2 linked regions of the Tamandua tetradactyla genome follow. The protein of the gene in region 2 purifies or fractionates together with the protein of the main gene of each other region. This does not show direct contact. Links are inferred from orthologs where the notes say so. Each region holds a gene or a part of one and is shown on either strand. Other genes may lie near its edges.

The links.
Region 1: the proteins of TGFBR2 (region 2) and ENG purify together in Homo sapiens (affinity purification with western blotting; 3 studies listed by BioGRID). This does not show direct contact. The link is inferred for Tamandua tetradactyla from reciprocal best matches to the Homo sapiens genes TGFBR2 and ENG.

What each region holds. Positions count from the first base shown.
Region 1 is NC_135328.1:50,692,024-50,708,384, forward strand, and holds the start of ENG (endoglin), read right to left. Parts: upstream 8,419-16,361; 5' UTR 8,060-8,418; coding exon 7,993-8,059; intron 103-7,992; coding exon 1-102. UniProt on the Homo sapiens protein: Vascular endothelium glycoprotein that plays an important role in the regulation of angiogenesis. Required for normal structure and integrity of adult vasculature. Regulates the migration of vascular endothelial cells.
Region 2 is NC_135341.1:57,539,965-57,556,604, forward strand, and holds the start of TGFBR2 (TGF-beta receptor type-2), read right to left. Parts: upstream 12,123-16,640; 5' UTR 11,693-12,122; coding exon 11,599-11,692; intron 1-11,598. UniProt on the Homo sapiens protein: Transmembrane serine/threonine kinase forming with the TGF-beta type I serine/threonine kinase receptor, TGFBR1, the non-promiscuous receptor for the TGF-beta cytokines TGFB1, TGFB2 and TGFB3.

The sequences.
Region 1 (16,361 bases), on a different chromosome or scaffold from region 2:
CCTGGGCCACGCAGCCCTCGGAGACCTGGCTTGTGGTGTATATCACCTCGCCCCATTTGGGGTCCACAGGCTGTAGGTCACAATGAACTGTTTCCGCCAGACCTGTTGACGAGAGGGCCAGGTAAGAAAAAAACGGGGGCCTCTGGGTACAGGGCACGGGCTGAGGGCTTTATGATGTCTTCACAGCTGCCCTAAGGGTGAGCATCTTTATACCCACTCCACAGATGAAGAAACTGAGGCTCAGAGAGGAGAGTCTCTGTCCCAAGGTCACACTGCTACTTTGTGTAGCGTGGCCAGATAAAAACCAGAAAGCCAGTTAAATCTGAATCTCAGATCAACAATGGATCATGTTTCTTTTTAGCACACGCATGTCCCACATATTCCATGGGACATACTTCTACGAAAACAAATACCCATTAATTTTCTGAAACTCACATTTAACTGGTCACCCTACATTTTTATTTGCTAATCTAGCACCCCTAACTGGGTGGCAGAGCTCACATACGAACCCAAGCCTTAAAGTTTTGTTTCCGCCAAAGAAGGTGGGAGCAGAGATCTGGAAAAAAAGCTTCCCCTCTGGTGTCATAAGAGACCAGGAAGAATGCCTCTAGTTGGAGGAGGGTTGAGTGCTTCCTGACCCCCAGGGACAGGGTGACCCAAAAGGGCGGCCCAGGTTAGGAGGGAAGATGCCGGAGGAGGCCGCAGAGGCTGCCACTGGGCAGCCCGGAAACCCAGGTCCTGAGGGAAGTGAATGGAATTTCACCCTGACCCAGCAGGGAAGGAAGAGGAAATGAGGCTCCTACACCTCGTCCTGAGGAATGTGCTGGGGAAAGGGGGGGCTCCCGAGGAGGGAAGGAGGAGAGAAGGGGAGACTGTTTGGAAGTTTGTGTCTCCATCTTGTCGCGCTCACTTCCTGTTTTCTTGGAGATCAAAGATGGGCGCGGAGGGACTGGCTGCACGTCCAGCTGACGCCAGCTCGGAGGAGGGGTGGGGTAGGGAGGTTTCTCCTGAACCCAGACTTTCTTTTGCCTCACTCGGCCCCTTCTCCACTTTCCACAACCTTGCTGGACTCAGGGCACCCCAGAGAACAGAGAAGGTCATAATGTGGCCGCCTGTCGCCATGGCGACACCATCCCCCAGCTCCATCTTGGGGAGATTCAGGGCAAGGACATTAGGCCACATGGGAGCCCAGGCCTTACGCACTCCTGCCCTGACCCTGAACTGACAGTGCCCGGGACGCCAGAGAGCCCAGGCAGCATGGCCTTGGGGCTAAAAGCAAGGTCCCGAGAACCAGGCAGACCTCGGTTTGAGTCTCGGGCCCAACACTCAGTAACCATGTAACTCTGGTGGATGGTCTCACCTCTTCGGGGCTCAGTTTCCTCGTCTGTAAAGTGACAGTAAGAATAGAGCCCACCTCAGAGCTTGCTGGGAGGGTTCCATGACACAGGGCATATGCCCATTGTTCTTATCATTCCTTGACTGACTTCGGTCATTGTAGAACTGTCTAAGGGGTGGGGCGATGTTGTGGGACGGAGAAGCCTCCTAGGCTGAGTGAGGGCCCCCTGGGAGGGAAGTCACCGACATCTCCAGGCCACCTCACTGCCTCGCCCCAGTAGACTCAAGGTGCCATCTCCCACGGTTTCACCCCTTCCAGCCTACCAACGGGCTCAGTGCTCTCCACCCTCTCCTTATCCCTATCAGCGCACACAGTCTCCTTGGCTGTTAGTCCAACCCCTCCTCTACAGATGGGGAGACTGAGGCCTGGAGTCGGGGGGTGGGCCAAGGTCATACAGCAGAGGGCTGACCAGGCCAGGCCTGGGACCTGCCTCTCCCCACATGACCCGGGGCCTGGCTTGCACAGTAGCACAGCATCTCCCTCCTTCCCTTCGAACTTTCCCTGCCCCCTCCCCAGACTTCCAGGAACCCCAGTTCCTCCCGGATCTCTGGGGCCGCCTGGGGCCACCTCCTCCATGCCGTCAGCGTCAGTGGGGAGAGGCCACAGGCCTGGCCATTATGTAAGGATCAGATAACAGGCCAGGCTGGGAGATCAGATAAGAGGTTCATTTATTTTGGGGCCTTTTCGAATCCCAGCCGCCCCCACCCCGCAGACGAGAATGGGGAGACAGGAGGGAGTGTGACGCCCAGGCCCGTCTCCCGGAGCCGGAGGCGGGTCCAGACAGAGCTGAAAACAATCCCCTGGCACCAAGGGAGACACAGAGACCTCCCGGCACCCAGGTCAGAGGAGGCGCCGCTGGGGGCCTGGGTGTCCAGCGCCCAAGTGAAGGACCCTGGAACCACCTCCCCGCCACTGGCCCCTTCATCCTCCTTCCCCACCCGCGGGCCCACTGAGCACATGGCCACCTCCAGGTCTTTCCAAATGACCACCCCAGCTCTTGGGGGGCCACGGACGGCAGTGGTCGGGAGAAGCAGCTCTGGAACCAGATGACTGAATCAATCCCAGCTCTGCCTCTTTGAAATTGGTTACCTTGGGCAGTAGCCTAACCGCTCCAAGCCTCAGTTTCCCCATTTGCAAAACAACAATTATCACAGCAAAAGCCTCCCTCATGCTTACTGGGAGCCAGATACAGCGACAAGGCTTTATGTGAGGTAACTCATATGGCCCTAAGAGCACCTCAAGAGGCGGCTACTATTGTTATACCCACTTTACACACAAGAGTCAAGCATCAGGGAAGTTAGGATCGAGGATCAGACGGGTTAAATAATTTGTCTGAGTTTATCTAGCTACTTAGAGACAGGGTATGAATTTGAACCCAGATGCTCCAGCTCCCGAGTGCAGAACCCACTTCACAGACGGTGTGTCAGTCTGAGGAGGTCACCGCGTTCAGTGCTCCGTACACCACACCCGTGATTATTCTTTCAGAATACCAAAGCAGATTCTTTCTGGCAGAGGTCTTTTCTGCTGGAAAGCCTGTCCCCTCCTCTTCAGCCACTCAGTCTCGCTTTGCTCCTTCCCGTGCAAGCTCTCCCTGAGACCTGGCCATCAGAGAGACCTCAGCCATCCTCTGCTCTGGCCTCTCTCATGGCTCCCCAGTGCCCTCAGGGTCAAGGCCATACACTGCAACCTAGAGTGGAGTTGAAAGAGTGCAGGCTTGGGGTTCTGACAGATGCCAAAGGCTCAGACTCTGATTCTGCCATCTCTCACCTTCCATTACATGCCTTAATGTCATTAACTGCAAAATGGAGGTGACGATGACCATAAAACCTTCCTCATCGAATTGGTGAGAATATCAGCGGGATAACACAGGCACCATGCTAAGCTAGCTCCTGAGTCATGGGCTTTGCTCAGGAACTGACACCTATTGTCATGATTATGCCCAGTCAATGGAGACATGCTGGGTTTCCCCCACCCTCACCCCAAATACACACATTGCTCCCTACCACTGCCATTCCCTTTCCCAGAGGAATGGTCTTCCTTTATTTGACCATTTGGCCAACCTCTATTCGTCCTTCAAAACCCTATTCTAGAAATCTCTCCACTAGAACCAGTTTCTCCCCTCTCAGGGACACTGGTGCCTGGACGTCCACCTAGAATCACACATGCCTAAGTGTGTCATTTTTATTTGTCTGTGTGTCTGCCTCCCCCAGCAGACAGGGAGCTTTTCCAGAACAGGAAGAAGTCTAAGTCATTTTGAGTCCCCAGAGCCCAGCCCAGGGCACGGAACAGACAAACACGAGCAGACATTTGTGGAATTGGCTTGCCAGGCCTGGCTCTCATTTGCCAGATGACCTGTGTCAAATCCCTCCACCATTCTGAGCCTCAGTTTCCATGTGGATACTGGGGTGGCAGGAAACAATGGACAGGAGATGCTCCACACTCCACTGGATTCTGAAGTTCTGAGATTCTGCCTGGGGGTGGAAGTAGGAAGAGAGGGCAAGGCATTGACGGGGCTACTGAGGGTAGGGGCAGGGTCTCATGAGTTGTGCTCCAAGTGGGAAGGTCACGGTAGGGGAAAGAGAAGGGGCCAACTTCCTGGAAAAAGACTATGGGGCCACAGGGAGGGCCCTATCATCTCTCTGTGGCAGTACAGGGCTGTAAACAGGTCCAGAGCTCGAGTCCCAGATGCCTGCTTCTGGGCTGTGCCACTTGGGCCAATTCCTTCACCCACTGAGCCCCAGTCTCCTAATCTGTGACATGGGAATAACAGGAATGCTCTACCCCACAGGGCTTTAATGAGTACACATAACGTACCTAGAGCAGAGTCTGGCACACAGTAAGCATTAAATAAACGTCACCTGTTACTTTGGCCCCTTAACCCCTTTCCCCTCCTCAGCCCTACCCCCCCCCCACACACACACAGGTGTGAAAGCTAGCTCGGCTCCTCCTGAATCTCCTCTTCAGCCTCTAGGGCTGACCCTGCAGAGCCCGAACCGGACCTGGGTGGGGGGATCTCAGAGCCAGGGCAACCAGCTCTCCAAGTCTCTGGAACCCAGGCTGCCTGAAGTCTTGGCCCCAGCTTGGAGAAGGGGAAAGAAGTTGGGACTGGGTTCGAATCTGAGCCTACCACTTGTCCCAAGCCTCAATTTCCTCATCGATAAACTGGGAATAAAGGCAAAGAGCCAGCACAGTGCCTGATGTACTGAGGACACTGGAGAGATGGATCCCTCCCTCTTGCCCCTCAACATTCCAGCTCACTCCAGGTCCTTGAGTCAATGGACCAGGCTGTCCTCAGAGGGCCCAGCACTGACCCACCTGCGACCCTGAGCAAGGCTTTCTCTCTCTGGGCCTTAGTGTTACCATCCGCCTGCCTAAGGCAAGGGAGAAGCTTTCAAGCCATGGCCCTGCAGAGACCCACCCTCTCCTGGCTCACCCAGCTCCTTCTCCAACCTTGTTTTCCTCCTGGCAAATGGGTAGCTGTCCCCAAATGCAGCCTCTAAATGATGGATCTATCCAGTCTCTGGTCTGTGTCACTCGTCCTCCTCTCCGATGAGTCGCGGAAGTCCCAGACCACACCCCTGCTCCATCCTCCAGCAAACGATCACCCGCACAGAGGAAACATTCTTCAATCCCAGCCACCTAACATGGGCCACAAGCCCCCGCACCCCTTCTTCTGGGACTCTACCCAAAGACCATTATACAAAATATGGAAAAAGGTGCATGTGCCAAAAACGTGTGTTGAGGTGGTATTTATAACCAGTACTCAAGGGGAAATGAACTAAATATGCAGCAATAGGGGATTCATTAAGTAAACGATGGCTCATTTGAAGGAGAGAATATTCTAGAACCACAACGGGATGATTATGGAGTCCATCTGACAATATGGAAACTCCTGGGACAGGAGAAAGGTTATGTAAGACACCCAAATTTGATCCATCTGGATTTAAATTACCTGAAAAAGCTAGACAAAAGCTAGAAGGCAATCCACCAACATGGTAACAGTATCTATATTACAAAGGGGTTTGGGAGATAATGTTTTCCTCTCTTATCTACCTTCTTTGAGGGGTAAGCTGAGGCAACTAAGTGGTTAAATTGTTTTTTGTGTTTTTTAAATATCTCCATATGCTTGCTCTTAAAAAAAATCCCAACATAACAGAAAAATTTGACTTAGATGGTGAACGTCCCAGAGAGAAACCTTTATGTTGGAAAAGAGGAGTGTTGGGTACACAGCCTTCCAGAATTTCCTCTGTACATATTGTACATTTTTACTATTTTATTATGATAGAAATATTGGGGATCTAACAGTGTGCTGCAGTCATCTGTCCACGGCAGTATACACAGAGACCCGTCTTTTTCCTTGGCGACTGCTGCTTAGTATACCTCTCCGTAATAATTTATTTAACAGGTGTCCTGCTGATATACATTAGGTGGCTTCTACTAGTTGGGTTTTGGTTACAGGTGTCTTTGGGTCACACATCTTTAGAGAGCCGGGAAAATATCTCCATAGGGCTGACCCCGGAGGATAAGTTGCTGGGACCAAGAATCATGCATAGTTAAAAGTTTTGAGAGTTGCTGCTGAGTTGGGCTCCCAGAAATCTGGACCCATTTTTGGACCTGTTTCCGGACCCCTGTGGGCATGAATGGGGACACTGGGTCACCCCATCCCCACCCGTGGCGTGGAAAGAGCTGGGTTCCAGCCTGTAAGGGCCTGTGCTCTGCAACGTGCTGGAGCCCTCATCTGCCCTGCGTGGGCCTCGGTTTCCCAGGCCGTACGTGAGCTGGGCTGGATGGTTACCCTTGAACCGTGGTGTGCCAGAACTGGCTCATGCCTGCTCCTAAGAGTGGGCTGAAAAATTTCCAGGTGTTCTCTGAACTAATTGTCAGACAGTGCCATTATTTCGAAGTAGCTCATATAAACTTACAATTATATAAATTATATTAAAAACATAGAAACTCATCACCTCCTAAATAATTTACTCCATTTTACTATTATTTCTGCTCTTGAGGTTATCTTTATCTACTGTATCAATGTGGTGGAAATACCGCATGATGTGGGCTGCTGTGCGTCAATTCCTGGCTGGGCTAGTGAGTTGGTAACTTGACATCAGCCATGTGGGAGCATTGACACCATGGAAATTGACAGACATCCCAAATCAGATTCCCACCCTCCTTTGCCTGCTCCCCCAGTCACCAGTTGTTAATTGTTCACCAGCATACCTCCACCTTGATTCTGTAAAACCAGACCCAAAATGTCTGCATGGGTCTTTCTCTAATGAGCAAGTGGAATAGGACGTTACCATGCTAGAAATGGGTGAGAGGATGGGAGAGAAAGGCGAGACGGACCTACAGGCACGTCAGAACCCAGATAGGGGTCTGACGGAACCATGTGAAATCAGGCAGGTCTGAGTTTACCTTTCCTGTAAAATGGGGGCGGTGATGGCAGCCGGCTTGCAGGATGGCTGTGAGCCATTTTGAGGGGTTGCCGCATCATACATGGTTAGAAGCAAATGTTCTGGGGAGCACAAGCCTGGGGTCTAATCCCCCCTAAGCCACTTGCATCTCTAAAACTTAGTTCCCCATGTATTATGGGGCAGTGGTGAGAGTTGGAGAGACCAAGGTTTGGTAAATTTTAAATGCTGAGGGGTGGGGTGAGATGGGGAGGGGGTGGCCGTGGCTGCTGCTGTTCCCCTTCTCGTCTCCCCCTACTGCCCCCCCCCCCTCAGGGCTTCCTCCTTCCCCTCTTCCTCCTCCAGACCCTGAAGGGGTGGCCCTGGGCTGTCCTGTCTTGTGGCTCTAGGAGGGTGAGGGGCAGGACACAGCGGAGGCACGGCAGGTGAGATGGGGCTGGCACCCCACCTCCTCAGGACCCCTCCTCTGGTCAGTTTCAGAAGCCCGAAGAGGCCAGGAGCCCCGGAGAAGCCTCCAGGCTGAGGAGCTCTGGCAGGTCCCCTAACCAGGAGAGGAGGGGCAGAGAGGCGGGAGGGCCTTGCGAGCTGTTCCAAAGGGTTCTGGGAGTCGCTTCTCCATAAAACAACACAGAAACGAGCCGCAGGCCTGAGGGCTCGCCTCACCTCCCGGCCAGGTCCCCTCCCACAGCAGCCCCAAGGGGGGAGTCCTGTCACCATCCCCACTCAGAGGTTGGGGAAACGGGCTCAGCGACACGAAGGCAGCACCCCCAGATCACACCGGGTAGCTAAGGAAGTGGAGGTTTGAGCCCTAGCCTGACTCCGGAGCCCAAGCTCCAAAAACTAAGGCCCAGGGTGCCACGCACCGAGCTCCTTCCCACACGCTCCTCAGGGCCGCGCAGCTGGGTGATGGGGACGCCAGCAGGCCAGAGCTAAAGTGACCAGCTCATCCCGGTTTGCCTGAGACACTTTAGCTCTGAAAGCCCTGCGTCCTCCAAACCCAGCAGCCGGGATGGTCGGTCACCCTGTGGCCTCCCCCTCTGGATGTCCAGGTCCCCCACCTCCCCCCAGGAAAGACACCAGACAGGCTCCACCAGGCCTGAGGTCAGGGCACTGACCGGGTTCAAGATCTGCCAGGCACTGACCCACCCCGGGCCTGAGTCCCCCCACCCCAGGTCCCTGGACACCTACCTGTGGGGTTGAGGCTGCAGACGGCCAGCAACAGGGCAACGACCAGGAGACGGGCGTCACGGTCCATGCTGTCCGCTCGGAGGTCTGTGCGCTGGGCCTTATCCGGTGTCCAGGGGCAGGGCTGTGGGTGGGTGCGGGGGCCGGCGTGGGCTCACGCAGGGACCCGAGGGGAGCAGGCGGCCGGAGCGACAGCGTCCCTGCTCCAGCCTTCTGCGGGGACAGCCGAGGGGTCAGGAGAAGTGGGCAGGAGGGCGCAGGCCCGGGCCCTGGGTCCACAGCTGGCCAAGAAGTGGGCAGGGAGGGGACACTGGACTCCTGTGGCAGCAGCGAGCGCGGTGGTCCCGTGGACACGGATGGAGCCTGAGGTCTGACTGTCGGCTGAGGGGAGCTCCCGGCTCATCCAGCCCGGCCCGGGGAGGCAGGAAATGCGCTTCCTTAGAGAAGGGGCCGGGCCAGGCCGCCTGCCAGACGGTTAGAGGAAGTGCCACGGGCTTTGTCGCTGGGTGGGGGGCCTGGGTGGGGGGTCAGCGGGGGTGGGAGGGCCCAGGCTCCAAGCTTGCCTCCCCACCCTCTCCAGGTCTGGCCAGTGGGGGTGCATCTGGCAGCCCCTGGAGACCAGATGCGAACAATCACCCAAACAGCCCACCAAGGGGCCCTTCCCAGGCAGCCCTGGCTGAGATGGTTCCTGTGGGACTCACAGCCTGGGAACCTGGTATTCCCATTTCGCAGATAAGAAAACAGAGGCCCAATGAGGTGAGATTGTTGACCAGAAAGGGGATAGAGCTGGGATTCAAACCTGTGCCCCTCAGGGTCCAAAGCTGGCTGAGGTAACCATAACATGGGGCTTCTGTCCCTCTGCTTTGCAGGCAGGGAAACTGAGGCCCAGAGTAAGGAAGGAACACTCCCAAGTCGGCCCAGCAATTCACCTAGATCTGGGGTTTCTGAGCCCAGAGAGGGCAGGAGGTCTGCCCAGGGCCACACATTTTGTGTCTGATCCCTCCATGGGTGGAAAATCCTCCAGGGACAAAGGACAACCCCAAACAAAGGAGGATGGGACAGACCTTCAATGGCATTTCTGAATTCAGATGGCCCTGGGTTCAACACCCTGCACTGCTTGATCTGAGCTGTGAGATCTTGGCCAAGTCGCCTAAACCGTCTGTCACCCTGTTTGTAAAGTGAGAGCACAACAGTGCCCTCCTCTCCAGGCTGCGGTGAGAGTTCCCGGGTCGAGGCAGCACCGCACCGAGCCCTGAACCCGACACGCAGAAGCCCCCATCAGCGTTCCCTGGCCCTGGGAGACAATCCTGGAACTTGGGAGAGCAGCCTGGCACTGGGCTGGGGCTGGGGCTGCAGGTGGGGTGGCCGTTCATGCTGCAAACAGAAAGCACCTACTATGCGTCCAACATGATACTAGTCATGGGCAGAACCTAGGCTTAGGCCCAGGGGAGCTCAGAGAAAGAAGCCCGAGCTTCCTGGGCAAGGTGGCATTTAGACCTGGCTTTTGAAAGACTAGGTGAGTCTGGGGTGTGTAGAAGACAGGGAGGAGGTGGATGGGTCGGGCAGGGGGACCAGCCTGAGCAAAGGCATGGAGGTGGGATGTGCTTGGCCCACCATGGGACAGGGTCAGGAGAGGGCAGTAAGCCTGGAGAGGCAGACTCCAGCCCTGTTCGAGGGGGTCTTGAATGGCAGGAATTTACCCTGAAGCCATGGGAAATCATGGAAGGTTCTGGAGGAGGAAACCAGTGGGGCTTGACTTTGAGAAGACAAATCTTGGCATGTGCTGGCAGTACCCAGCAGGAGATGAAGCCATTCTCCCTGCATCTGTTCTGGATCACAGTGGGGACATCGTGACCCAGGGGGTGGGGAGAAAATTGGATTCCTGCGTGCCTCTGGAGGGAGGTGTTAGTCTGGAATAAGAGGCCGAGGCCTGGCCCTAGATGCCTCCGACGCTCTGGCCTGGTCCGGTGACCAGAGTAGGTCATATGTTTGTCTTTGCAGGAGCTGATATAGGAGTGGGAAGGGTGGGCGGGTCTCTTTGGATGGGGTTTGGGGAAAGGGTCAGCTCACCCAACCCCATGGCTGCCTGGCCAGTTCCTGCCATGAGGCATGGGCATGGAGTCAAGGCAGGCCAAGGAGGGCTATGAGGGGGGCAGAGGGGGCCACCCACAGAATGGTTATTACACTGTCTTTTCCTGCAGCTGCGGAGATGAGGACATGGGCACCATGAGGCACAGGGTGGCTTCAGTGGGGAGGTGGGTAGCTATAGGGTCCCCCGGGCCCCAGTTCCAGCATCTGTGCCCCAGGTGCAGTAAACCCAGCACCCAAGGGCTGGACGCTCCTTCCACGCCAGGCCCGCCCTAGGCAGTCACCTTATCAGCTCTGAGTCCTCACAGCCTCCCTGTGGCCCTCACATCCCCATTTTGCAGAGGAGGAACCCCAGGCTCCCAGAGGTATAAGTGGCCCCTCAGATCCACAGCTGGCAGGTGATGACCCCAGGTCCTTCACTGCCACCACCACCTGGGTTGAACTTGGAGTGGAGCAGTGATGTCCTGGTGACTGTGGGCATCGCAGGGTGGGGTGCTGGGGGTGTCCAGGGGTGGAGATAGGGACGCCACGGGAGGCTGTTCCAAAACCTCCCTTCCACCCCCACCCTCATGCTGAACAACCCACCCCACCCTTGTTACAAACAGGACCCACTGGATTCTCCGGAAAGCAGGAGCCACTTCAGGGGGATATGAGGAAGAACTTGTAGAAAACTCTAGGGAGACAAGTTAACAGGCCAAGCCTTTGATCTTGAGTCTTGCTCTTAATGAAACTTATTTCTGTAGCAGAGAAGCTGAACCTACCTATAATTACGCCCAACCAATATCATTCCTGTTAACCTTAAAAAACACCTAGGCTCTCTGGTTCAGGGGAGATGGCTGAATAGGGTAGATTGAGTCAGGTCTGCTCCAAGGAAAAGTTAGAGAAGGGATGGGAGGGCCACTGAGACGGCTATTCAAGAGCGCAGCTGATCTGGGAGAGCCTTTTGCACCACATAGGGCGACCCTGGTTGCAGAGGCGGAGGAATTGAGAACCAGAAAACTGGAGCCTAACGCAGAAGCATGGAGCCCACAGTTGGGCACGGATGGGGAAACGGGGACTACTAGAAAGTAAGCCAAGCCGCGGGCCCTGAATGCGCTACTCTCATCAGTGCAGCCCCGCGACCCGCGACCCGCGACTCACCCCACACCCCACGCACCTGAACACCATCACTCGCCCCCACTCCCCGCGCTCCAAGAGCCCCCCGCTCATCAGCCCCCAGAGTGCGCACCCACCCCATACCCCCACCCCAAGTGCAGCCCAGCCTACCTTTCCTGCACACCTTCTGAGCACTACCTCCTGATCTCTCCTCCCTGCAGGGTGTTGACAGTGCAATAAGGCTGCGGGCGCATACCTTCAGATCTGCGCATCAGCTGACAATGCTCCTAGACCCGCTTGGCCACCAGTCACGCCCCTCAGCTCTGGAAGCATCCGTTTGTGGCACTCCTAGAACCGCGCATGTGCACAGCCCTCAGCTCTGAGAAAGCACCGACCTGCGCAGCCAGGTCACACCTGCCCCAGTCCATGAAGGCAGGACACGGTCCTGATGCCTTGCTCTGCGCATGCACACAAAGGGCCCTGCGCCCTAGACCAGCACCCACCAGGGTTACGTCCCCCAGACCTGTACACACGCACAGCTATGTCCTCCCTGGCCCCTGGGCGCCCACGTTCTCAAGCACCAGCGTAACATCCCCAACCTGCGCCTTTACCTGGGCTGCAACGTATCACTGTTGTACCCCACCCCATACCTTGCATCCGAGTCCACATCCACCCCACAAACACAAGGCCTTAGACTACCGAAGGGAATCAACTCCCAAAGTAAATCAATCAAGATATTTGCATACGGGAGCCAAGACAGCTTAGTGAGGTTTGGGATTTAGTTCGTGCTCCAGAGCCACTAGTAAATAACCCAGGAAAAGTACAGAACAACTGCTGGGGTCATGTCAGTGACTGGACACACAGCATACCCCAGTCTGGACCAGCTGGACTGGCTGCGAGCCCCCCAGAACCGGGAGTCCCCCAAGCCGCAGAGGCCGGCGCCCATCCCCCACAGGCAGCTTCCCAGAGGGGCTGAGCACAGCCAAGCTCCAACTGTGGAATTAATGAACAAATTCTTACTACTAAAAAGTAGTAAACTCAGCTCAGCTGAACCTCGAGTAAAAGCTGAGGTTGCTGGTTTTTGCTCCAGCGCAGAGGGGGCAGGGCTGATGGAAAAAAAGGTTTTTTTGATCAGGCAGCACAAAATATTTGGAAGGGTCTCGACCCTGAAGGAAAAGAGGGGACAGATAGGACCTGGAGATACACAAAGCAACATAACAACTTAAGCTCTTGATTGGCAAACCCAAGGAATGGGGATCCTACTCTGAAAAGGATTTTTTTTTTCTTTCTTTCCCTTTTTGTGTCTGTGTTTTCTATGGCTTGACTGCTCTTTGGATACAGCTACAGGACTTCTCAGGCTCCAACTGCCCCAGGCATGGGCAGAATTAAGCTTGTCTGAGAGCTTGTCTGGAGCCTGTGCCTTCCCCAGGAGAGGGGTGGGGCCCAGCTCAGGTGGAATCCTTCCCTCAAGGAATTCAGACCCCAGGGCCTGGAAAAGTGAAGTGATTAAAGCCAGCCTACAACCTCTCCTCTGTCTGCACCATGCCCCCATAAGGGAGAGTCTGCTGAAGTTAAAGGTACTGCATCACCTTATCCTGGTGGGACCTGCAGTCAGACATGTGTCACATACTGGGCAAGATAGGAAAAACACAGAGTTCAGAGGCTTCATAAGAAAGTCTTTCAACCTGCTGGGTCTCACCCTCAGAAAAATGACGCAGGTGACTCTTTCCTTCTGAGTGGAAGCCAGTTTGGTCTGGGAAAATCTGACTGGGGTCTAAAATACCTATGTAGACCCTCCTAAGGAAAGGGAAAAAAAGGCACCATATAGGCAGGGCAAGAAACAAGAAAATAAGAACTGAAAAATTCTGATCTGTTAAACCAAACCTAAGCTAGAGGTCTGGAATAAGCTGAACTGAATGTCAAAGAACAGATAGACAACAAAGTCATCCAGCAAGAAAATCCTAGGTAAAAAAAGTGAAAATGACCTCCAGAATAAACTAACTAAGGAAATTAAATGTATAGACACCAGCAAAAAATAAAGAATCATACTAGAAAAATAGAAGTTATGGCCCAGTCAAAAAACAAACCAACGATTCAAATGAGATACAGGAGTTGAAACAATGAATTCAGAATGTTCACACAGACATGGAAAACCTTGTCAAAAATCAAATCAATGAACGAGGGAGGATATAAAGAAGGCAAGGAATGAACAAAAAGAAGAAATCAAAAGTCTGAAAAAACAAATCACAATTTATAGGAATGAAAGGCACAGTAGAAGAGATGAAAAAAACAATGGAAACCTACAATGTTAGATTTCAAGAGACAGAAGATAGGATCAGTGAACTGGAAGGCAGGACATCTGAAATCTGATAAGCAAAAGAAAATAAATGGAAAAAAACAGAAAAATATGAGCAGGGACTCAGGGAATTGAAGGACAATACGATGCACATGAATATACATGTTGTGGGTGTCCCAGAAGAAGAAGAGAAGGGAAAAGGAGGAGAAAAACTAATAGAGGAAATTATCACTGAAAATGTCCCAACTCTTATGAAAGATTTAAAATTACAGATCCAAGAAGTACAGTGTACCCCAAACAGAACATCCAAATAGACATACTCCAAGACACTTACTAATCAGAATGCCAGAGGTCAAAGAGAAAGAGAGACTCTTGAAAGCAGCAAGAGAAAAGCAATCCATCATATACAAGGGAAACCCAATAAGACTGTGCATAGAAATCTCAGCAGTAAGCATGGAGGTGAGAAGACAGTGATATGATATATTTGAGATACTAAAAGAGAAAAACTTCCAACCAAGAATTCTATATCCAGCAAAAATGTTCTCCAAAAATGAAAGGAAAATTAAAATATTTTCAGACAAAAAATCACTGAGAGAATTTATGACCAACAGACCAGCTCTGCAAGAAATACTAAAGGGAGCACTAGAGACAGATAGGAAAAGGCAGGAGAGAGAGGTGTGGAGAAGAGTGTAGAAATGAAGACTATCAGTAAAAGTAAAAAGAAGAAAAATTAGATATGACATATAAAATCCAAAAGGCAAAATGGTAGAAGAAAGTACTGCCCTTACAGTAATTACTCTAAATGTTAATGGATTAAACTCCCCAATCAAAAAACATAGTTTGGCAGAATGGATTAAAAAACAGGACCCATCTATATGCTGTCTACAGGAGATGCATCTTAGACCCAAGGATAAACATAGGTTGAAAGTGAAAGGTTGGGAAAAGATATTCATGCAAACACAATCAGAAAAGAGCAGGAGTAGCTGTACTGATATCCAACAAATTAGACTTCAAATGTAAAACAATTAAAAGAGACAAAGAAGGACACTATTTTAATATTAATAAATATTAATTTGTTAATAAAAGGAACAACTCAGCAAGAAGACATAACGATCATAAATATTTATGCACTGAGCCAGAGTGCACCAAAACACATGAGGCAAACACTTAAAAGAAAAATAGACACATCTACCATAATAGTTAGAGACTTCAATTCCTCATTCTCATCAATGGACAGAACATTTAGACAGAGAATCAATAAAGAAACAGAGAATTTGAATAATACAATAAATGAGCTAGACTTAACATTTATAGAGCATTACACCTCACAACAGCAGGATATACCTTTTTCTCAAGTGCTCATGTATCATTCTCAAGAATAGACCAAATGCTGGGTCTCAGAGCAAGTCTCAATAAATTTAAAAAGATTGAAATCATACAAAACAATTTCTCAGATCATAAAGGAATGAAGTTGGAAATCAGTAATAGGCAGATTGTGAAAGCCTTGTGTCTGATGCTCCTTTTATCTACTTTATGGACAGATGAGTAAACATGGATTAAAAATAAATAAATAATAGAGGGAATAAATATTAAAATAAATTTAGTAGATTGAAATGCTAGTGATCAATGAAGGGGAAGGATAAGTGGTATGGTATGTATGAATTTTTTTCTTTTTTCTTTTTATTTCTTTTTCTGAATTGATGAAAATGTTCTAAGAAATGATCATGATGATAAATATACAACTATGTGATGATATTGTGAATTCTTGATTATATACCAAGAATGGGGTGATCATATGGTAAGAATGTTTGTGTTTGTATGTTGTTATGTTTAAAAAATTTAAAAACTGATATGGGGAGCTTCATGGAACAGAAAGCCGGGAGAAGAAGCTAGCAGATGATGCCGTGTTCACCATATGTCCTTCCAGATGAGAGAGAAGCCCTGACTGTGTTCACCATGTGCCTTTACAAATGAGAGAGAAACTCTGACTATGTTTGCCATATGCCCTTCTACTTGAGAGAGAAACCCTGAACTTCATCAGCCTTCTTGAATCAAGGTATCTTTCCCTGGATGCCTTTGATTGAACATCTCTATAGACTTGTTTTAACTGGGACATTTCCTCGGCCTTAGTACTGTAAACTAGCAACTTATTAAATTCCCCTTTTTAAAAGCCAAAAAAAAAAAAAAAAAAAAAAAAAAACTGATATGCAGAGGACCAGAAAATTCACAACTATATGGAGGCTCAACAACACACTCTTAAACAACCAGTGGGTCAAGGAAGAAATTACAAGAGAAATCAGTAAATATCTTGAGGCAAATGAAAATGAAAACACAACATATCAAAATTAATGGGATGCAGCAAAGGCAGTGCTAAGAGTGAAATTTATTGTCCTAAATGCCTATATCAAAAAAGAAGACCAAAAATCAAGGAATTAACTGTCCACTTGGAAGAACTAGAGAAAGAACAGCAAACTAACCCCAAAGCAAGCAAAAGGAAAGAAATAACGAAGACTAGAGCAGAAATAAATGAAATTGAGAACATGAAAACAATTGAGAAAATCAACAAAACCAGAAGTTGGTTCTATGAGAAAATCAATAAGATTGATGGACCTTTAGCAAGGTTGACAAAAAGAAGAAGAGAGAGGATGCAAATAAATAAAATCAGAAATGGAAGAGGAGACATAACCACTGACCACACAGAAATAAAGTAAGTAATGAGAGGATTCTATGAACAACTTTATGCTAATAAACTCGACAATGTAGATGAAATGGACAACTTCCTAGAAAGGCATGAACAACAACACTGACTCAAGAAGAAATAGATGACCTCAACAAACCAATCACAAGTAAAGAAATTGAATCAGTCATTAGGAAGCTCCCAAAAAATAAAAGT
Region 2 (16,640 bases):
CTCACAAATGTTCTTACCAACATCAACATCAAATTCTTGGAAGATAAGTGTTTGGGGTGGTTTTGAAAAAGCAGCCAACAGTATCCCATTTGAAGAATTCTATTTCAGCCATTCCTAAGAAGTGTGCAGAATATTAAGACAAAACACTCTTATTTCATATCCCATAGGTGCACAGGCATTCTTAGCCCATGTCTGTAATATTACGAAGTCAGTGGTGGCTTCAGAATTTCCAAAGAGGAGGCTCCAGAATTTCATGGGTGCAAATCATGGAACAGAAGGGGAGATTTATCTGGAAATTGTGTTTGCATGGGAAGCATACTACTGGGAGCAGTGCTTATTCAGGGTGGCTTGGCAGGATAGCTGATATAGTCTAGGGTAAAGGAGAGAACGAAAGACCTTCAAGACCCTCCTTCGAGACCCCTTCTACTAAGCTCCCAACTAATGAATATTTCATATCTAAGTCTACACAGAACGTGCCACTTAACAGGCTTTCCAAAAACCGCAACCAAGAATTATATGGAATGCTGGACCCCGTGAAGAAGAATACCTTTGGGCATTCTCCATTCCATCAAGACCTTGCCAGCTTCCCCTTCTCCAACCATCTCAATGACAGGAGATAACCTATGTTTCATAAAAATGAAAGGCAGTAAGTGGCAACAATCTGTCCTGAGTCAGGCAGTATAATTGAGTTTATGAGCTTTTCTGACCTCTTAAGTCATAATGCATTGGGGCCCTCTATAAAAGACTAACACATCAGAGGATAAATGAATCAAAGGCAGTCTGTGATGGATGGAAAAACAACAGCCCTTAACTCCTACAGACCTCAGCTCCCCAAAATTCAGAGATACTAAGACTGCAAAAAGAGCAAACCTCCACTAAAAGAGTCAATTATCAAGGTCAGATCAATCGAGAATTCCCACAAGCCTACAGTTCTCTCAAACAATACAGGTAGCTACACACATCAAAGTCAGTGGCACAAAGCGTGGTGAAAAGTAGTCTTTCTCTCTCTCTCTCTCTCTCATACTCTCACACACACAAACAGTCATCTCTAGTCTTCAATCTACAGAGCAACAACCTTTTAATGAGAATGTGTGCTAAGTGCTGAGGAAGAATCAGACAGAAGTTTCCCCCTCAAAGAGTTTTCATCTAGTAAGGGAGTTAAACACACACTCACATAGGTATAGCTTTGCAAACATTCATGTGAGTCAAGAAGCAAGACATTATAGAAGCTGTGAGAAGATAAGACGAGTTAGTAAAGAAAGATCAAATCAAGGGAAGTAGTACTCAAACTAGGCTTTACGGCAAAGGGTAGAGGTGTTGTGGGGCATGAAGACAGACCAGGCAAATTTGGGGGAGAACGGTCATAAGCTAGGAAATATGAAAGCAAAAGGCTGCATGAGGAAGCCTGGCTCCAGAGGAGCCAGGGTATGAGGCATAATATGAACAGAACGGGCAGTGTCAGAGAAGCTTGATTGCATCTATGCATACACTCATCAAGCCAACCCTGTGTGTCCCACTTGCATGCAAAGCACTTGTCTGAGGAGCCACACATACAGATGTAGCCTCTGACCTCAAAGAAGAAGCAAGAAATATGTAATCACCAAAGATACATAAAAGGCTTTTTAGCAGGGGAGGCACCTATTCAAAATAATGCCCAGAGAGAACACATATCTGGTGTTAATGTACAAAGGTTGAAGAGATAATAAACAAAGGAAGTGCACAGGCAGAAACCAATTAGGAAATTCTTACATATGACAGAAAAGAAGAGTTCAGACTTGCATTCTGGTAGTAATTCAAGAGCAAAACTGAAACCAAAAGATTATGTATTTCACGTAACTAGGTTCCTGTTATAAATAAAAGGTCTGATTAAGATGTTCTAGATTTTAACATTCAAAAATCATTCTGATGAATAAGATGCGATTTGGGGCAACAGGAAGTAACATGAAATATAAGCTGCAATGGAAAGTTTTTCTTCTTTGTCAAGTGAAGCTCAGATGTCAAATGCAAATGAACAAAATCAGGCAATGAAATGATTTGGAAAAATCGGAAAGTAGCTGTGAGAACTGGTTATTGTGGCTACCGTGTGACTCAAGGGCATCGGTAACTGACAGGGACCCATATCTCTACAGGACAAAAGTAACAGGTGCAAAAATTGCCTTATGTGAATAATTACAGAAGCCAATGAATGAAAAAGGTAATAGCAGTGCTCACAGGACAGTCTAAACCAATGCTGAAAGATTCAAAAAACTCTTAGTGAGTCCGCACTGAGCATCAACCAAGTAAATTTCTCAAGACAAAAGGGGAGGATTTAAAAAAATGTCGAAGAGTAGAATCACTTCTTGAAAAACCTATGTCACTAAGTCATTAACCTACTGGGTACATATTTTGCATAGAGCAGAGCGCTGTGTATTTTAAGAAATGAGAAAATAGAATAGTTCCAGAATTAATCAAAGCCTAGATATGTCAAGGGGGTCTGTGGTTACATGCCTAATAAGGTAAACATAGTTTACATAATGAATTCAGTGTAGAAGAGGATCCTTGGGTTCTATAGTATATGGCTAAGAGCCAATCAGCAAAGGAAAGCTCCATGAAGGATACTTTGGGGAACCAACTGGTTGAAAGCTATGACTCATTTAACCAACTTGGCCGCCAGTGTGCTCTCTCTTCTGCCAGCCCTGGGGTGTTGGGTACATACAATTAAAACAGGCCTGGTAGCTTGGAAGGAGTCAAGACTCTTGAAACTAGAAGCAACTATTCCTTCAATCCTCCTCTTCCTCCCTGATGGAAACAAATCAGGCCTGATCCACTCGCATCACTGCAGACCATGCGACCATTTGGAAAATGCTTTAATGCTATCAGAACAGTGCTTTTCAAATTTCAACAGGCATACGAATAACCTTCAGATCTTGTTAAAATGCAGATTATGACGCAGTAGGTCTGAGGCAGGACACGAGATTCTGCATTTCCAATAAATTCTTGGTGATACTAATGCTACTGGTCTCTGGACCACCTTTTGAATAGCAGTAAGGTATTAAAACACCTTCGGTTGCTGTTACCAGGGGACGATAGGAAAATCATCGTTTTCAGAGTCAGAACGCTTGAACTCATAATTCAAGAAATTAAAACAGCTGGGTCTCAATGTGGATTATAACTCACGAAATCTGAGTGTTTAGGGAGGAAAGAGGTTCCTGAAGAACACGCAGGACCCCAAGCTGGAGGTGATGGAGAACAGAAGATTGCAACAAAAGAATGGACAGGTACATTGCTCATTAGAATAAATAGAAAGGCGAAAAGACTGGGAACAAAAACTTACAATGCATTATAATAGAAGTTGTAATAATAAAAAGTGAGATGATTAGAAATTATTTTACAAAAATATTAACTTTAGGAATAGTGAATGCCAAACGTTACTATTTCAATTTTTTTTCCATATACTTGAAGAACAAATACTGTCTTTTTTCACCCAATACTATGGGTTTTAGAGGACAAAACTTAATTGAGCTGTGTAGTAATGAAAGAGTCACTTAAAGCAGTAGTTAAAGGATTCCTCCTCTGTGCTATATACATACTATACGGAAATGCAATTATGGGACCAGCAGCTACTCCCCTGCCTAAAACAGCAGTCTGAAAACTGCCAATCTGTAGCAAATTCTGCCTTTTCTGAGAATATTTTAAGAAAAGTGGTGGAGACATCTTTGCACGGCAACAGGACACTAATTATATCCAGACAAGTTTCCTTTTTTTTTCAAGAAGAACATAGAAAGTCCTTCAGGGGCTTTGTTTCTTTTCCCAGATATTACAAGGCAAATGTGGCAACATTTGATAATTTTCTACCTTAGCAAGATCCTTCACAGACATTTTTATCCATGTGGGGGAACAGAGAATGAAAAGGGCATAATTAACCAAAGAAAAATGATAGGCCACCAATACCAAGTAAGCTTTTTCTTTGTAAGGAGGAATGAGTTCTGGCTGAAGTAAACATGCTATTTATTCAGGATGCATGCTCAGACACCTGTGGTGGGAAATTTTCAAAATAACTATGGTTTCTTTTACCTTCTTCTTTTTTTTCCCAATAGTAGTAATCTTCAATGGACTCCAAAATAAAATACGTGATATTTGTCAAATCTGACAAATGTTCTTTTCTTATTAGTTAAGGACTATGTAAATGGTTTCTTAATCAACTTCAATGATTTCCTCTACTAACTTTTCAGAATAGAAAAAATTTGAAGAACTCATCGTGTTCAATTCTTGTCACTGTCATAGAAGGAAAATGAGACCTTGAGACACCAAGAGACTTAACCCGGTCACCAGAAGCCAGGATCCCCAGGACAGTTTGCAGTAGTCTTCACCAGCTCTCTCCTGAGCAGTCTTTCTTCATTCAACCTAAGGGTCAGGTCTGGGTTACCTTTCAGTAACATTTTGTGGCAAATATATTTTTGCAATTTCTTTTATACATTTTCCTCTAAACTAGGAAAATGAACAGAGATTTGGCTAAACCTGAAAAAAGAAAAAGATTTGACTTGATGACATAACATTGCAGGCCTTACTCTCTGTAAGGCCTGGGGGAGTACATTTTTCATTTATTTCTTAAGCCATCAAGCAAATCCTGGATGTAGACCCAGGGCTTGTGAAGGCAAATTTATAAATTTCAGAGCACTACCTAAAAAAACAAATACAAACTTAAGCCTAGAAATACAAATGTGAAAGTAAATTATTTATTTAGACTGAAAAATGGCATCATAAAAAATTACGACTTTTTAAAAACTCCAAATACCACAAATATAAAACTTAAAAGAAAACAAATATTTGTATTAATTAAATGCCTAATACATCTCTGAAATATTTTTCCAACTTTTTTACTGCATATTCTTTGATCACCTCTTCCAATGATATTCTGCAATATTCTCTATAGAGAGAACAGAAAAACAATTCAATCTTTTCTCTAGCAGAGTTGATCAGAATTTGCAATTTATTATTGAATAACTTGGAAAAGTTTCTTTCAGGATCATAAATCATTATAGGTAATGAATGTCATGAAAGATTTTCAGATTGTCTCCAAATTTGGGGAAACCTCTATTGAGTATCTTTTATATGAGAGCTGTAAGATTCTTTGCTGGATGACATTCATCAACCACACTGTAAGGAACCCTTCTAGGGAGAGGCCTTGAAGTCTAAGTTTCATTTACTTCATGGTAAATATACATTGGGGGATCATCAGATCTCCCCTACATTTTTCCTGCATCCTTGAACTCCCCCAACTCCTTCCAAATAAAGTGCCTATTTTACTCAGCATCCCTAAACTCACTGATGGCATAAATATTACATGATTCAGCCAAGATTTGATGTATATATTTCATTTTCCCACTAACAACTGAGATTGGAACCTCACCAGTCTTAGATAGTTGCCCTGCAGCTAAATCTTTCATGATGATTGCCTTGGTTTGAAAGAATTAGGTACCCTAGAATAAGCCGGATCCATTTTGTGAAGGCAGCTGTTTCTTTTAATCCCTATTCAGTACTGTAGATTGGAAACGTGATTAGATTATCTCCACAGCACTGTGACGCACCCTCCTGTGGGTATTAACCTTTGATTAGAGGGAGATCTGACTCTACCCATTTCTGGTGGGTCTTAATTAGTTTACTGAAATCCTTTAAAAGAGGAAACATTTTTGGAAAAAAAACTTTGAGAGCCACAAGAACTAGGAGAGCCCATGCAGTGAGAGACTTTTGGAGGTGAAGAAGGAAAACACTCCCGGGGGAGCTTCATGAAACAAGAAGCCCATAGAGAAAGCTAGCAGACATCACCATGATCACCAGGTACCTCTCCAGTTGAGAGAGAAATTCTGAATTTCATTGACTTTTCTTGAGTGAAGGTAACCTCTTGTTGGTGCCTTAGATTGGACATTTCTATCGACTTGCTTTAATTTGGACATTTTCACAGCTTTAGAATTGTAAACTTACAACTTAAATTCCCCTTTTATAAAACCATTCTGATTCTGGTATATCGCTTACAAACTAGAACAATGATCTATAGCTCTGATCCTGCAAAAAAAAACTACAGTTGTTATAGAACTCTTCAGAGCATAAAGGTCAAAATCAAGAGGCCATGTATTAACTACACCCAAAGGGGCAATTAGTTGCTCCACGGTGGGTGTGGAGATCTAAAAAGCTGATCACCTACAAGTTTTCAAATTAGTTGGACCTCAAAAGTTAAATCATCCCCTTCTCCTTTGGTTCTGTTGGATAAATTCAGCATTTACTGCCCTAACCAGCAGTTGTTTGAGGCCTCTACAAGATGATGGTCCTAAGTGCCCAGAATTGGGGGTCGTGAAGACAAATTTTTAAAAACAGTGCAAATTCAACTGCTGTAAATGGTCACACTAGGTCCACCACCAAGACACCATTACCAGACTAGAAACAGTAGAGTTTCCTCACGCAAAGAAACCATACCCTATATCTTGATTTCTTTTAGTACAAAGATGATCTGGAAGAAGACAGATCAATGCAAACCAAGTCAATCAACTAAGAAGCACTGGGTTGATGATATTAGATACTAGATGTAAGTTTCTCCTCTCTCTTGACATTTTTTACCCCCTTCCCCAAATCCCCTCCTAATACACAGGCACACACACATATCCTACTCCATGAAACATAGCCTAGAAGACTGCAAGCTGGACAAGCTTCAAATGCACATGCACCACCACAAACCAAAGAGGCAAACCTCAATTGACACTGAGCAGACTCCATTTTCCTTATTTATTAAATAAATATGATAAAATTTATCTTGTGAGTTCCTTTTGAAGATTAAATGAAATAAGTAACGTCAAGTGGCTGGCTCAGAGCAGATTCTCAATAAATGCTAGTTCTTTCTCCCTCTCTTCCTTCATCCTACTTCTCCCTGAGCTGAATCAGTATACCTGCACAGCATTCCAAACTTGTAACATGCCAGGCAAAGAAGAGTAATAATCATTATCTTGCTCCAGTTGGAAGCAACAAGTACCTGGGGAGGAAACCATTAAAAGGAAAGGAGGGGAGTACAAAATAAGAAGTGAGCATTTTTGCTGCTGACGCTTATCATCTAAGTCATTTTCACCGCAAATCATAAGTTAAATCTGCTGAAGCCATAGAGGAAGGTCTGAAGGGCAAAGGCTAACAAGGTGATAGAGTTGTGCTTTTATGTGGAAACTGGCTAAATAATGGCATGCTATAGCCAGGAAGCAAGTTTCCTCTGCAGCTTATTTTAAACGGTTTTGTTGGTTTGCATCAGACCTGGTGCTCAGGAGACAGTGGCTTCTATGGTACCACACTTCTCTGAGATCAACTCTGCTTCACTGCTTATAGATCAAAACATTAAACCCCGATGAGAAAAAAGAAACTTGTAATCTAAATTTACATTTTAGCATTTCATTTTAATGAAAGACTCCTTTTGGCTAGATTCTAGGGGAAAAAAGAATTCTGTATTTATTGGACAATTTTTTGATGAAACTTGCGAAAAGTTTTGTAATGGCTTTGAATGTCCTACACTAATTCAAAATGTTTAGCCAACGGAGTAGGAAGAAAACTCCTAGGAGCTCTCTGTCATGTTTGTCAGAAGTTGAAACATCTTTCTCCATATCTCATCAGAATAAAGGTACTAATACTGTTCTTTATTGCCTATTTAGATCAGGGTTAACATGATTTTTACTGAAAATAAAGATTTTATCAAACAGAGAAAACCCCCAAGACACAATCACTGCTTGGTCACTAAAATGCCAGACCTAAGTTGCACTACACCCTGTAGGATGAGGTGGAGGTTCAGTTTACCATTTCCTGGGTGCTCAGTGATGTGCCAGACACTGCAGAAGACCCTGGGGATAGAGAAATGAGTAAGACACACCCCTTGCCTTTGAGACCTAACGAACAAGTGAGTCATGTAAAGATATAATTTCACTGTTATTAAGAGCTGAGAGAGTTTTGTACCCGGAAGGGAACACTTAGCCCTACCTGGGTCATTAACAGCAGGTTTCTTTAAGAAGATGACACTTGAGTTAAGTCTTAAAAGATGAATGCAAATTAGCCAGATGACAGGAGTCCCAGACAAAGGAAAGAGCTTGAGTAATGGCACAGCTGCCTACACTGCTGGCAGCATGTGTGCATGGTGATGGGGTGGACTGGAAATATCATCAGTGAGAGGAGAAAGTATTGGGCATGGCAGGAGGTGGACCTGCAGAGTCAGATGGAAACCAGGTCACTGGGGGCCTTGTTAGGCCAGATTAAGAAGTTAATAATAATAATAATCAAAGCTGATATTTATTGATCAATTACTATGCCACAGGCATTATGCTAAGCACTTAAAAGCATTATTTCATTTAATCCTTAAGAAAACTCCCTGAAGCAAATTCTGTAATCCCCTTAATAGATGAGGGCACTGAGGGTTACAGAGATAAAGTAATTTGCAACAAATTACACAGCCAGTAATGGGAAATGTGTCTGGAACTCAAGATGGCCTGACTCCAAAGCTTGTACCCTACCTACACTCTCCTACATCAAATGAAAAGCTGGATGGACATATGGGGTCCATTACGTTGGATACAGAATGGAAAGTGGAATACAAGGTGGCCTACGTGGGCCCTGGAACAAGGTAGAGATAGATAAGTGAAGATCTGTCAATGAAAACATATTTTCAGAGGGACTGAGAAGGAAACATTCAGCATGCGCTCCATCCTAATGCATTTAACAGCACGGGCTTTTGGAAATGGCATCTAGAAAATGAAACACCAGTATTCAATAATTCTTCCAAGTTAAAATGTACATCCTCTTTGCTTGCAGCACTCTCCCAAATGTTATAAACTCAATGAGGGCAAAAATCATGTCAGTCTTATTCATTCAGCATGATATCTCCAGGGCTGAGCATCCTGTGTGGCACAAGGAGACCCCTAATAAACATTGCTGAGAATGAATTAGCAGCGGTCACTTTTTACAATGGCACTGGGGTGTCATTCTTAATTGGAAAATTAGGGTTAAAAAGGAATAAAGAAAAATTTTAAAAAGTCATGGATAACTGAGTAACAACAGTCAGCTGAAATGGAAAGCATTTACCAGTTATGCTGACTACACAGACAATAAAGAGGAGCCGTCACCATGGGATGGCTAGTTTGAAAAGTCGGCACTGAATTCAAAATGTAATTAGTATTTTGTTTAAACTATAACTGGTTAAAAATAAGATGTTACTAAAGGAAGTAGCCTGGGGGGGAAATGTGCTTTATGGAAATAAAGTAAATAGACCAGAGATCAAATTCTGGGCCTAATGATTCCTAGTCTCTGATCCTGACAGAAGTAACAATGCTGTTAATGTGATTGTAGGAACCAGAAAGAAATTTATTCTTATGACACTTGTATGAATGTTTAGGTATGTGAAAGTAAAGAATCCTTTAGGTATGTGAAAAGTAAAGGTCATATTTTTCACATCTAAACAGTTTTCAGGCATTTACATTTTTCCCTAAAAGAGTAATTTCTTAATTTTGAGTACTTATGAAGAGCGAATCTACTAAGTCAAATAATAGTAATGATATACTTGGCAGTGAAATTTATTCTTGTACTGAAATCTATTACTCTCTTTTCAATCTACTAAACAGATGATGGTATGATATACTCTCAGCTTACCTAATAGGAGGCTATAAACAAACTCATTTCCTCATATCTTATCTTACTCTAAGATATTTTAAAAAATGATTTGACCGTTAACCAACTATGTTAGAAAACACTGAAACTATTTCCTGACACAGAAAATTAAAATGCAAGTAGAATTAGGTTTCTCATCTTCACTATCACTATCTCAATCTTCAACCATCTTTGAAAATTTAATTTGGGTCAAGTGAATATAAATTCAAAATTATTTATTTCAACTATTTTGAAACTTTAATTCCATAAAAGTATAAAAGTGGGGTTTGTTAAAAAAGACAAATAGAAAATTACCAGGCTTTTAAACTGATTGTTTAAAAGTGTATATATATATATGGAATGTAACTGACTCATGAACTGCTGAGCCCAGAATTTGCAAATTATAAATCTTATTTTTGTAAACAAAACCTAACCCATGTAGACAAACAAAATTGGAGCCCACTAATTTTCTTCTTTCATAATCTGAAACAAAAGTCTTAATTCTTAATGTATGCAGAAAATTAAGGGTGCCACTTTTAATTATTTATTAGCAAAGACAGAGCTCAGTTTTTAAGAGTCTAGAGTAAAATCAGAGACTCTTGAGCATTCTGTTAACTGCACTGTAGGAAAACATCCCAAAACAAAAACAGTGAGGTTTTATTAAACCCTTAGGACTTAAATTTGTGTTAGGATTTTTGTTTGTTTGTTTACAACAGTACTTCTTCCTCATTTCATTAAAAACTCCCACCCTCAGGTTACCGTTGGTCTACTTCAAATAGGCAGCCTATGAAATTTACCACCTTCCACACCACCCTAAAGGTAAGTGTAAACTGTGTCTCCCCATGATATGGAGTGTCATCCTCTAAATTTCATCCCAAATCTGCACAGGCCATCTCCAAGCCATCAAAAGAAATAAAAGAGCCCACAAGATGTTAAAGATAAAGGGGACATCAAGTTATCTAATCTGAATCCAACTGTGTCATTTTACAGGTGAGAAAACTGCATGCAGCCCAAAAAGGTCATATGACTTGCCCAAATACTCAGTTACTCAGACCACAGCTGCAGATAATCAGTTATGTGGCCCTTAGCTGCAAAAATTCTAGCTTTTGAGGTCTCAGAGATTCTACACTTTGCATAACAAAACCTTAGGAACCTAAATTCTGTATTCCCCCCCCCCCCAAAACTGTAGAGATTAAAAGCTGGTGGGCAGCCGAGGCACAATTTTAACCCTTTCATTTCCAACCGAAACAAGAATTGCAGAGAATCACCAACTCCTTGCAGGCAGGACTGCCTTCCTCTCAGCAGCATCCCCAGCAGCTAGTAGGCACTCAGCCTTCCATCTGACCATCCCCACTGCCCATCCAACGCCAGGATGTCAGTGGAGCCAGATAACTTTGCTTTGAAAATCATTTCTTTTCTTGAAACTTTTATCCAATAGCTCAGAAGCCCGCCTTGGGGAATGCATTTTCACTCTTAGGCGCTAAGGAGGGAATAAATGGCCATTTAAAGGGGTGTCTCGGGAAGAGAAGAAGGTGGGTGCGCAGCATCGCCACGGCCCGCAGTGACCCCAGGTGTGCGAGCTGACTTGGCGGCCTCGATGGCTGCAGCTCCGGGCCGCTGCTTCCCTGCCTTCTTCAGATAAACCAACTTCTCAAACTTCCCTTTCCGGGGGTGGGGGCTCGCCTCGGCCGCGGCCAACACAACGCCTTTTCCTACTCGCACAATGCGGGCCAGACGTGCCCCAGGCCCCCTTCCACTCTAACTTTCCTTCTCTTTTAAAGAAAAACTCACGCACCCCTGCGGCTACCGGAGTCGGGCTGCGTGGGTGCCGCGAGAGGAAACTTTCCCGTTTCCGCCCGAGCGCTAGCTGCTCCGGCTCGACTGTCAAGCACTTCGAAGGGGCGGGGAGCCCAGGAGACCCCAGTCAGTCCGCCAAGCCCCGGCTGGGGGGTCACTCACCCGACTTCTCAACTTGCGGCGGGATCGTGCTGGCGATGCGCGTCCACAGGACGATATGCAGCGGCCACAGGCCCCTGAGCAGCCCCCGACCCATGGCAGACCCCGCTTCTCGTCATAGACCGAGCCCCGAGCGCAGCGGACGGCGCCTCCCCGGTCCCCTGGCTGCGCCTTCGCCAGCTCCGCGCCGCGCCTTCTCCGAACCCCGCGCCGGGCCCGCAGGCCTAGTGTGCGGGCCAGATGTGGCGCCCGCGAGCGAGCACGGAGGGGGCCCGAAGGCTGGCGAGGCGCGGGGGGGCCCCCGGCGGCCAAGGGGAGCTGCGCAGGAGGCTGGCTCCTGCCCCGGGCGTGTGCGCGCACTGAGGAGTTGTCGGTCCGTGCGGCGAGTGACTCACTCACAACTTCACCCGGGCGCTGCGGGGGAAACAGGAAACTCCTCGCCAACAGCTGGGCAGGACCTCTCGCAGCCGGAGAGCCTTCTCCCTCTCCTCGGCTTTCAGTCCCGGCTCTCTCTCAAAGCTGTCAATCATCTCCCCTGGACCAGCCCCTCTGAGGGCTTTGGCAAACTTTCAGCTGCCCCTCACCGCCCTCCCACACCACTCTCCAAGTTATTTGCGCAGAATGACTAACGGCAGGCCTGTCAGAAAAGCAGCTGAACCTAGGAAGTGTCCACACTTTCTGTAGTCCCCCCACGAAGCCCACCTTCCCAAGTCCTAACCTTTGGTTTGTTCCTGGGTGCTTTACAGAGTTGTGTTTTTCAAACTATCAGTCGGGACCCATGAGTGAATCCTGAAATCTGTTTTCGTGAGTCGAAGCCTGTTTTTTCGCTAAAATAGTAAGGATAAGTAATGACTTCGTTAAAATTATGTTCAGTTATGTATATATGTATGGGTGTCACATTGTGAAAATGTCTTCTTACTGGTATATACCAAGTCCATCAGGTTCTCTCAAATTTAATGCGTGTATGGGCCACCTGGGAATCCTCTGATTCGATAGGTCTGGGGGGGCCTGAGTTGCACTCCTTGGAGTTGGCTCCATTTTCAGTAGCAAGGCTCTAGAATTGCCTCTTCCTGGGGTTGAGTCCGTGCATAATTGTAAACGGTCAACCATCACAGAATGATAATGGAGGAAATGTTATTTTCAGAATGTATCAAGTATGGCAGAAAATGGAAAAATGAAAGTGACCTGGGATTCACCAAACGCCAGCGTTTGCATTCCACTATTGCCCAGGAAGAGAACTACCTAGCATCTCATTTGCAAAAAGGATACTAGTGGGAGCAGGATAGGACCTTTCAAGTTTCCCTTCTTGCTAGGGCGACCAGTTTTACCCAAGGTAATTTTGGTTTACATCTATTTTCACAATTTAATTATTATTAGAACCCCCTTTTCTCTTTCAGATATGTCCTGGCCGGAATGACTTATATGATCATACTACGTCCAGTTTTCAGCGTCTTAGATTTTGTGTAGCTTGCTGGCCAGGAGATCTTCCAGCAGGCTATACAATGAATTCCTTCATCTGAGAAAACAATTGTTTGCAGAGGCAGGTGGTCAGTTTCACTGGGAATAAAAGTAAATACTTCCTGAAACCCTACTCCTGAACCCACGTCAAAGGGCTCATTTGTTTAATCCTGGGACCCTAAATCTCACCCCCACTGCTCCAGCATTGAAGCTGCCTCTGGATGTGTCTTTTAGGAAAACGCCCATCCCACATCCCTTGTTCAGGATGCAGGAAGTGGGTGAACTCAGCGTAGCTGAACATCTTCTCTCCCACCAACAGCCTTGCCAAAACTGGAGACCCTTTAACATGGAGGAAGGTTCATTGAAAAATCCATTTTTCCCCATTTTCTCTACAACCCCTCCCCCCACTTCTGTCACTATTATCCCTTTCCTGGAGTTACTTGGGAATCTCCTAACCACTCTTCCTCAGGGTCATTCCTCAAAGCAAAGCTGGAGTCCCTCCAAGCTGAAAACCTGATTATACCAATCCTCTGATTAAAATAATTAAACAGCCTCCCACTGCTCTAAAGATAAAGAAAAGACAGAAAACAATTTTTTAAATGTATTCAACCCCCCACCTCTCCTGTAATCTTCCATTTTCTACTTCCTCTCACATGCAGGGAGCCTTCTCTAAGTTCCTTTAGCATGCCCCGTCTCTCCTACACAGGGCCTTCCTCAGTGTGAATTCCCTTCCTCTTTCCTTCTCTTCCTCGTCACCAAGCCAACTCTTGGTTTTCCTTGGTGAATCATAATTTCCTTGATGGGCGAGTATATTTCTCTAAGTGGATTTTTTTTTATCAGTTTCTCTTGGCACCATATGCCTCTCCTTTTAACATTTACCATGGCTCTAATTTCTCACTTATTTTTCAATTATTTGCATCATTCCTTAATTTCTATTCTTCTTCCTAACTTAACTCTAATTTCTGGAGGGCAGGAATCATATCGTCCCTCCACTCACTATTATAGTCTCAGTATCTAGCACCTAATAGATTTTAAATAAATACATGTTGGATGAATGGATGTTATAGGCTGAATCGTGTACCCCACAGAGAAGTGTTCAAATCCTAAATCCCTGTCTTGTGAATGTTACCCTTTTTTGGGGAATAGGGTCTCTGAACATGTGATTAGTTGAAATGAGGCAAAACTGGGTTATGACTGGTGTCCTTATGAGAAAAGAGAGATTTGGACCCAGGAACATACACCTGGGAAGAAGTGCTGCCCCTGCAAGCTAAGGAATACCAAGAATTGTGGCACCCTACCAGAAGCTAAGTAGGAGCAAGGAAGGAGTCTCCCTACAGGTTTCTGAGGGAGAATAATTTTGCCAATACCTTGATTTTTGACTTCTAGCCTCCAGAACTGTGAAACAATAAAGTTATCTTATTTATGACACCCAATTTGTTATGGCAGCCCGAGGAAGCTAATATAATGAATGAATGAGGAAAAAAAAAGTTCATAAGAAAATTTTACTTAATTATCCTAGTTACTTCATAACTCTGAAAAAAAGCAGTATATGACCTGGTAATTTGAGATGTAACAGAACAGATTATATCTGGAGGGTGATGTTGCCACCACTTCCATTTCCTGAGAATGGAGATATATGTGAATTATTTTCCCCTTTCTTTTCCTTTTCTAAATTTGCATAAGTTCTTGTGGGCAATATACATGTACTTCCTTACTCCCCAGATCACACTGAAGCAAATAAATGCCCATCAATTCCAAGGCTTTTTTTTTTTTTTTTTCTGTGGTTATCAGAAAGATAGATGTTTTGTATTGTTAGAGGCCAGGTTTGGCTCTTGCCTGCCATCTTTCTTTACTTGCAAGAGTGCCTGTATGTCCTCTTATATTTGTATCTAATAAATTTCCTACTTGCTTGCTCTATCTGTTCAGTACCCTTGAATTCTTTCTTGCAGCGCAGTCAAGAACCTGGAAACCAAAGTCCAGCAACATATTTTGGTGTTCCAGCCAGAAGACACTTCTCTCTAACTGTCTGGATTGCCCTCCAAGAAACAGAAAACTTAATAGACAAAGGTCTCCTCTTTTTCATTTTCTAGAGACCAGGATTGAGATATTTGATTTCACAGTGCAGTGTTTAACTGGTAGCCTTTGTCATATTTTATCATTAACATTGATTTACTTTTGTTTGCCTTTAAATTTTCTGATTTAATTTTCAATCTCCTGTGAAATTGAGAAAAGTATGAATTCAGCATTGCCAAGAACAAATTAATCTTTCAGAAAATATCACAATGAAATCATTGACATAAAAATTCATGTACATTATAATTTGGCAATCTTAAAAATCTGTCAATATGCCCTTCTGTTAGAGATTCCCATTGAGAGAAAAAGATGATAACCTCAGATTAAGACATTTTTTTCATGTACAATTGTGTATTTGGCTTAATCAAATTTTCTGTGTATTCTCATGGGTGGTTAATATATATATGCATAAAATGGGCCATTTGAGGTGGAAACAGGAAAAGATGAAAGTTTGGCTCAAGATTTTTAAAATAAGGAAGGTAATTTTTATACCTACAAGGTTGAAAAATGATTTTAAATACACCTTGACAGCCATTTTTCAGTTTTACAAACTCTGCACACATACAAACAATTAAACTGAATCAAAATATGATTAATCCCATACCCTGAATTTCCCAGCAGTGATGAGACAAAAACTTTTTTTTTCCTCTGAACTTTCTAACACGCAGCTGTTGAGGTTATTGGCAGCTATAGAAGATGACAGGGAGATTCCTCTCCATGCAAATCATCAATCTGCAATCTCAGCTATTATCTCTTGACCAATGTTCCCCTTATTAAGAAGCAAATCAGTAAGCCCCGAGATGTGAGTGAAATTATTAGGGTCACCCACTTTTTAAGGATCATCCATAAAGCTAGCTCCTCCAGGAAACTTTTCCTGATCCCCCCCAATCTAATAAGATCTTTCTTCTCCCAGGAAGAACCCAGGTAGCCTTCATTGTATTTTACCTATTTTTTAAATGTTTGTCCCATTATGACTTGGAATGCATTCTAATTATTTGTCTATTTGTTGGAATCCTATTCCAGTAATTGTAAAGTCCTTTATTGTACAGATTATACCTTTTCCAATTTTGAACCCCACTATGTGCCCTGCAAATGATAAGTTCTCAGTGGGTATATCTCATCTTCAATACAGGGAAAAATAGAAATAAAATATTTGTTCCCCTAATCCATTCCCATGTTGTAGTTCACAGATATTAACAGAATATCCACAGACATTAATAGAATCTGAAATTATGCCGTATGTTTATAGAAGCATTGATAGACCTTTTAAAAACTGTAACCTTATTTAAATTGCAAAAAATATGTTAATTATAGGCAAAAGAAATCTGAAATACAGTTAAGCAAAGGGCAGAAAATGAAAAACATCCTTAATCCCAACAATTTAAGATAATTGCTGTTAATATTTTGGAGCATGTCCTTACAGCACTGTTCTAATCTTCATTTTATGGATGAAGAAATTGATTTGATGGATTAAATATGTAAAGGTCACATAACTAGTAAGTTATAGACCTAGA